Linked DNA regions of Rattus norvegicus. The protein of the gene in region 1 purifies or fractionates together with the protein of each later gene. This does not show direct contact. Links are inferred from orthologs where the notes say so. Each region holds a gene or a part of one and is shown on either strand. Other genes may lie near its edges. The genes, in order: Camlg and Tnfrsf13b.

Region 1 (3,841 bases):
ACACACATGTAGACAGAACACAGAAATACATTAATAATAAATCTTTTGAAAAAAAGTTCTAGGGCTGGAGAGATGGCTCGGTGGTTAAGAGCACTAATTGCTCTTCCGGAGGTCCTGAGTTCAAATCCCAGAAACCACATGGTGGCTCACAACCATCTGTAATGGGATCTGATGCCCTCTTCTGGTGTGTCTGAAGATGGTGACAGTGTACTTATATATAATAAATAAATCTTTAAAAAGAAAAGTTCTAGCCAAGACACTGAATTATATAGACTGTGCCTTTCTGCACTCGTCTGTGTCCCACAATGCACTGTTGCTAGGATGCTACTACATTATGCATTGCAGAATCGATCTCTGAACGGTAGACTATTGCCTATACACAGGACCGCAAGAAGCACATTTCAACATCTCAAACCACTTGGGAAATCACTTGCTAATACACAGTACATATAGGCATCTGGACTTTCGGTTCTGGGACGAAACTGCCTGGGTTTCACCCCACCTGTCAGCGGCTGTTGTGACCTTGGGTAAGAGAATTCATCTGAGTTTTCGAGGGTTCAAACAACACATGGCTCCTAAAGATGGAGTTTAAGTGAATTAATATAAGACGAGCACATAAAGTGCTACAGACATTAGTTATTACTACGAATAGGCTCTCATTCTGTAACTGGGACAAATAACAGAACGTATAACACACGTTCAAGCAGCCGGATAGATCCGGTAATGCTGACAAGAAATCCCTAGCACGGCACCTTGACTTGCGTTTTCCTAGCTGATCGCTTGCAGCTCTTGGCTTACCAAATATTTGCAAACAAAAGCTCGGACAACAAGAGCAAGCAGGGCGCACCCCACCAGTCGAAATATTCGAAAAGAGTCAAACTCTTCCGTCGTCCGTCCATCTTCCTGGCTGGGCTTCTCGCTGATCAGCTGTTTGCGCAACTTCATTGCTTCTTCGAATCTGGAGAGGTACTGTTCTAGGCCGTGGTGAGAACCCCTCGGGGCCGAGTCTGCCGTCAGGTCACCTCTGTTCCGCTGCCGAAGCTCAACTCCATCCTTGCTACTGCACTCTGGTGCTTTAATGAATGAGTCCAGTTTGTCTCCCAGCTGGGCTCCCCTGATGTCGGCGCCACCACTGGGCTGGTAGTCAGTTACTCCTCCATCGACTGAATCGCCAAGCACTACCCTCTTGGAAACGGAAGGAACGCCGAGGGGATTCAGTATGTCACTGTCCAGTGGCTTTGACTTTGTTTGATTTTCTTCTTCTGAGGGAGGGAAAAAAAAAAAGAGCTCTGTGTATTACATACCCACGAACATCTTAAACGCTCCCACTGCTGCTAGAACTAGGTCTCTGAGTCAGGATAGAGACTGATGCAGAAAACAGAACTAGCTCTTTCGCCTACCACCTTCAAATAGGCCGCCACAAAAAGGCAGGCTGGCAGAGGGAAGTTCAAACGCTGAGGACAGAAACTACCACTTCTAAGTAAACAAGCAAATCAAGCACAGGCTGTCCCAAGAAATAAAGAACAATTCTTTCCCAGAAAAAAATACCCAGAGATATGCCTCAATTTCTCCCACTAGCTGATACTGATAAAAATACAAAATCATTAAAGTCTCTTAAGGTTTCTATTTTACAATTACATTTCTGAGTCGGGAGAGCTGTGAGCACAGGGTGTGGCGTGCCTATAACCACGGTGGCCATCCCCTGGGTAGCCATGAGCTGGCACTTTTAGGATGCTGTTCTAGTTTTTAAAGAGAGAACTCTAAAAGTGATAAAAATTTGCAGAGCAAAAGAACAGAATAGGAAAGGGACTCGAGAAACACCAATACTTTAAGACTATCTTCAGACTGATCACTACAAAAAATATTTCCTGTACTGTTTCAGATGATTCGAAAGTGGTACCCACACATCTCATTTCTATTGTCTAGAAGTTCAGAACTACATCTCTAACGCCTCATAGAAATACTTGAGTTCTACCACGCTTGCAAACAGTGACTAAAAAGCCAATTACTAAAGGAAACACCCAAACTGAAACTTAAAGAAGTCAAGCATAATTGTATTCAATTGTGTTCATAAGAAAACACGAGGTTGCATTGCATGAAAGATGAGTTTTCTTAGGGTAAATGCAGTTATTAAAATGTGATGTACCTCTGCTAATGAAAGGAAATCTCAGCGGGGGCATCACAACTTTCGGGAAGGTCTATAAAGAATGCTCGCACATATGTATTCCCTCTCCTCGAAGACCTGTAACAATGTTGAAGGCACCGAGCACAGCCACCAAGATAGGACCATAGGGTCTCTGATCCACAATGGACGGACCAGCCAATAATTGAGTAACGACTGATGTGGTGGACGAGAGTTACAAAGCAAAAGGCAAAAGCTAGGTCAGGGGATTAACTGGAAGGAAAAGCATTTGGAGCGGATATGAAAATCTCCCTGGGGGCGCAATGGAATGAGAATGGGGATAAAATGCGCAGCCTTCAAGAAAGGCGAGTAATCAGGAATATAGGTGCTGTCTCAGATAACCGTACACACAGATTCCGGAACGAAGGCTTTGTGGCCAGGGTGGAGACAATCTCAGGGCGAGGATCCAAGAAAATTGGAAGCAACAAGGAACATCCTGGGGCTAAGCGACAATATAATATGGGTCGTCACCTAGGGGGCGGGGACAGAGTTGGGTCAGAGTGCATTTTGGGGTCAAATGGATTGGAAGTTGAGGGGACGGAAGGATCTTGAATTTTCAAAGAGGTAGGCGGGAGACGGGGAAACCGAAGCTCTCACCCGCGCCGCTCCCGGGCCTGTGAAAGCCCATGATCCGGTTGATGCGTTGCTCGGAGTTCATGAGCAGCTTCCTCCTCCGCAGCTCTGCTCGACGCTGAGAAGCCGACAGGCCCGAGGGCGTCGCGGACCTGTCCCCGCCGTCGGTGGCCGAAGGCATCGGCTCCATGCTTTCTCTACTGCCTGGTTCAGGGTGACAGTAAAGGCGAGGATGACTTCAGGCAGGGCCTCAGAGTTCGGTCCCACTCCCACTGTAGTCCCGCCCCTAGAAGGCGGGGACTGAGGAGTGAGCATGCGCCGAAGGCCTGCACGAGGCTCTGCCGCCATGTTCAGTGAGGGCAGGCCAGGTTTAAGGGTTCTCCCTTCCAAGTTGGCTCGCAGTGCTGAGGTTTTTCACCACCAGGTTTACCTCTCAGCTGCTCTCGAAGGTGAAGAGACCACACCCTCCTGATGGGTGAAATGCCAGTGAGGAATAGGTCCATTTTATTCTCTGCCAGGAAGCAAAATGGAGGTTGCAGCGGCAGGAGCTTTTTACCAGTCAACGTCTCTTTGCTCCTGGGATACGTAATTGCGGGTGCGACGCTTTCAGGGAGCATGGCCCTGGGATTTGGTGGCGGTGGTGATTCTAGTTCTTTACAGCACTCCGCCAGATTTCCCTAGTCTCTTCTGTACCCCTGTCGTCTAAATTGCCAACACTCCCTACTTCCCTTCTCCCTACTCTTGCAACCCTGTTGCGTGCTTAAATCTCCGTGTAGAGGACTTTGTATTCTATATTAGAAAAGAGCCTGAAGTATGCACCAGTAGTTTGTTCTAAGTTGCTCTGCATAGGTATATTGTTAATAGCTCGTTCGTTCTGAGTTCGCTCTCCAGTTCAGGTGCTGAAGAGTGCAGACTTAAAACCGTTCAATACTAGCCAGATTTGTATTCGGGGAAATGCAAACTTTGAGCAGTTAAAATTAACTGTTTCATTCCCTGTGAAACTGCCCTTTTGACATGGAGTGTTAAATCGTTTTTCCAAGGAGTATAACCTTGTTCTCAGATCTCTGACCCTTTGAATAAACCGCA
Region 2 (3,915 bases), on another chromosome or scaffold:
CCTGCTGGACTGTGATCTCTTCTTCTTTTGTTTGTTGTTTGAGGCAATATTTCTCTGTGTAGCCCAGGCTGTCCTGGGACTAGCGCTGTAGGTCAGTCAAGAGAACTCCGAGATCTGCCAGCTTCTGTCTCTCAAATCCTGGGATTAAAGGCATGTGCCAGCACACCCAGCCCAACTTCCTTTTTTATACACAAAGTTTTCCAGTTCCATCCATATTCATACAAATGTAGGAGTTCCCTCTCTATTGAGAATGAAGAGAATCCCATTGTTTACACACACCACAGTTTCCTTATCTACTCATCCACTGAACACATGCAGATTGACTTCGTATCTGGGCTACTGTGAACAGCACTACAATGAACTTGGGAGGGCAACTGTTGGGCTTTCTTATCCCTGCAGGATTCCGAGACCTGGGAGTATACGGAAATGGAGTTGAAGCCCAGGGTAATCAGGGCTGTGGCACTGATTCGCCCATGTCCCTTATTGGAGGAGTCACTGTGCACTGAGAACGTGCTGTAAGAATGAACCTGTGGTGGCCAGGTGTGGAGCACACCTGAACTCCCAACACTCTGGAGTCTGAGGCAGGGAGATCTTGAGTTCAAGCCAGCCTTGCCCAGCTTAGTGACACCTGTGCCAAGAGAACTAAAAACCAGACAAAGAACAATCAAGTGACTGTGAGAACTCGTGTCATTTTCACAATGACTCAAGGACCCACTTTCCAGATGAGGGCATGAAGGTACGAGTCACTTTATACCTAAGTCCTTACCAAGGCATCGGACCCAGAAGCAAGATCCAAATCTGCAGGGACTGCACAGAACACTGGTACCTAATGTCCTGGGGGCAGTCACAGATGGCTTCCTGGGGGAGGTGACGCTTCAACTGAGCATTGAAGAAGGGACAGCATGAACTGACCAGGCAGAAACAAAGAATGTAATAGTCCAAGAGGAGGGAAGGCTATGCAGGGAGCACAAGAGCTGTGTGGGCATCCTAGCCTGGAGAGCGGACAGTGGATAGGAACCAGGCCTAGGAGTTGGGCAGGGAAGATCTAGAATTATCCAAGCCCTGTCATAACACAACCGGACTAAGCCCCCACTGCTAAGCTAACGGGACAGGTCGCTCACCTGTACTCCCTGGACTAAGGCGCAGGCGCAGGCGCAGGTCAACAGGGCGGCTTATTTACATCCCCAGGTCGAAGGGGGAAAACCCAGGAAGTGTGGCCTAGGCCTAACAAAATCTCAGGCTAATAATAAACGCCCTGAGTAATGAGTGGTGTGGGCCAGGGCAGGCAGGAGGCTGGCGCTGTTGGCACAGGAGCGTGGTGAGTAGCCAGCCGTGGTGGGTGAGGGCCAAGAGGGTGCTCCGGGGGCTGGGGATCCAGCAGTGCCACCGCAGGCACAAGATAAGGCTACTCAGGTTTCGGACAGCCTCAGTCCTGCACACCGGAGAAGCCTCCAGGGGTCAGGTCTTGCCTTCCAGGGGGAGTGGGGTCAGGCAAACAGGCAAGAACCTTTGTTTTCTATCCATGTGCTCCAGACTTTCTCCTTGTGCCCCCAGATTATTTTGAAGTGAATCTGGTAGATTTTAGATGCCTCGGGAGTCAGCATTTAGAACTCCGCCCTCACTTAGCTGTCGTGAATTTCTAAGAACTCTTAATATCACAAAGCGCCAACGAGCATAGGTGTTGAGCAAGAAGTGCCGACGGTGTGCGTCCTCGGTGGACAGATTCAAATCAGTCCTTCGTGGCCCACAGGAGAAAATGGGTTCTGTATTTCCACCTCTACCTGTTCCAATCTGCCTTCTTGTTTTTCTTGCTGATTTTCGTTGATGAATCAGGGCCGCTTATCCTATAGTGTGCCTGGGGTGATTTAGAGAGTTCCCTCCAAGGCGGAGAGGTTCCTCATCAGGACCCTTGCTCACAGCGGCTCCACCTCTCCCCATACCCAAGCTGGCCTCAGGCAGGCCTTCGCTAGGATTTCCATCTCTGTCCAGCAACCATGTCTGCCAAGGATGCAATTAAGTTTCACAGAGAATGCAGAGTCAGTGATCAGGAGCCACCTTGACCCAAGAGGAAATGTCAGAGGGCCTGGGACCAGGAATTAGGAATCAGGCAGAACGGACCGGATTCCATAGCAGCTTCCTAGTGCTGCCGGGAGAGCTGGGACAGGTGGAGAGATCAAGTTACCATTTGTTCGTAGTTTGTACACTGCCCCTTGATCTCGGAAAAGTCTCTTCTACAAAATGGACCCCAAATCCACAAACCTGCTTTCAACCCTTCAGACTCTCTTGAAGAGTCACAAGCAAAAGTTCTGGGAAGTTAAAACTAAACAATAACAACAAAAGAATCCTTCGACTAATTTTAATATTTCAAATAATTTAAAATTTAAAATAATTATTTAAATATTTATTATATTTGTACTATCGTGAGATAGGCGTACATTCTTTCTGTTCATAGTTTTCTCCCTAACAATAAAAGCTAACAATAAAACCTCTCTGCCTTGGAGGAAACTCTCTAAATTACCCCAGGCACATTATAGGATAAGCAGCCCTGCTTTATCAGCAATAATCACCAAGAAAAATAAGAAGGCAGATGGGGACAGGTAGAGATGGGAATATAGAACCATGGTGGACACGGTTGCTGGACAGAGAGGAAATTAAAAATAGAAAAGTGCTGGCCAGGTGTAGTGGTGCACACCTTTAATTCTAGCACTTGTGAGGCAGAGGCAAGCAGATCCCTGGGAGTTTGAGACCAGCTTGGTTTACATAATGAGTTTTAGAAAAGCCAGGGCTACATAGTGAGAGCCTGCTTCAAAAACATCATGATGATGATGATGATGATGATGATGATGATGATGGTGGTGGTGGTGGTGGTGGTGATGGTGATGGTGATGATGGTGATGGTGATGGTGATGGTGATGGTGATAATGATAATGAGATGATGGTGATGATGACGATGATGATGATGATCCATTAAAATGAAAGTAACCACCTTAATATATTTCACATAACAATTATATTTTACTCAAATAGAAAAATGCTTTATTTAAAAAAAGAAAAAGCCAGAAGTATTTGGATTCATAGCAAAAAGCTGTGGTTTGGGCCTTGTGTTCTTAAAACTGTCTTGAGTGTTTGGTTCTACAGCAGTACAGGCCAGCTCGCTCACACCGGTACCTGACTGGTACCGAAAACTGAGCCTTTCCTTCCTCTTTCAAGGTATTTACAGTAGGAGCCAAACGTGTCCTGTGTCCAGATTTATTTTTGCTTTTTGTTTCCTTGGCTTGGTTCTTCAAGAAGACAAGGTTTCTCTGTGTAGCCGTGGCTGTTCTGAAACTCTCTGTAGACAGACCAGCCTTGAAATCAGAGCTCCTCCTGCCTCTGCCTCCCAAGTGCTGGGATGAAAGGCGTGGGCCACCCTCGCCTCCCAGCCTGTGTCCAGTTTTTAAAAGGTGCACGAATTCAAAGTTGCCTTCCTCGGTGCCTGGACTAAGGGGTAAGGAATCCATCAGTCTGGGGCTTGGAAGAGAAGCGCCAGTTGATGAGCTCCTGCTTTGCACAGGATAAGAAGTGACCTTACAGTCAGTCCTGCTAAGGAGCCTGAGCACCACCTTGCAGACACGACAGGTCTTCCTGTGTGGGGCGAGCTGCTGTCTTGACTTTTAAAAAGCGGGTTACAAACTAATCTACCTTATCAGTCTTCCATGAAGCAGAGCCTGCTGTCTAGCCAAGCATGTCAGGGGCCTCTAGAAATTGTAGGACCCGCCGACTCTTGGGTTTCAGGGTACGCGGAAACCTCTGTGTTCATCTGAGCCCAGTGCGCCTGTCTAGGCTACAAGAGGAATTTCCTGCCATCCACCAAAGGAGCTGCCTCAGTTGCTGTCACCCTCGGGGGTCTCCTGCCCCTCCTAGGGGCTGGGCAGT

Evidence for each region.
Region 2: the proteins of Camlg (region 1) and Tnfrsf13b purify together in Homo sapiens (affinity purification with western blotting; 3 studies listed by BioGRID and IntAct, with this or other methods). This does not show direct contact. The link is inferred for Rattus norvegicus from reciprocal best matches to the Homo sapiens genes CAMLG and TNFRSF13B.

What each region holds. Positions count from the first base shown.
Region 1 is NC_086035.1:9,005,680-9,009,520, forward strand, and holds the start of Camlg (guided entry of tail-anchored proteins factor CAMLG), read right to left. Parts: upstream 3,030-3,841; 5' UTR 2,946-3,029; coding exon 2,780-2,945; intron 1,263-2,779; coding exon 799-1,262; intron 1-798. UniProt on the Homo sapiens protein: Required for the post-translational delivery of tail-anchored (TA) proteins to the endoplasmic reticulum.
Region 2 is NC_086028.1:46,300,071-46,303,985, forward strand, and holds the start of Tnfrsf13b (tumor necrosis factor receptor superfamily member 13B), read left to right. Parts: upstream 1-1,265; 5' UTR 1,266-1,318; intron 1,319-3,915. UniProt on the Homo sapiens protein: Receptor for TNFSF13/APRIL and TNFSF13B/TALL1/BAFF/BLYS that binds both ligands with similar high affinity. Mediates calcineurin-dependent activation of NF-AT, as well as activation of NF-kappa-B and AP-1.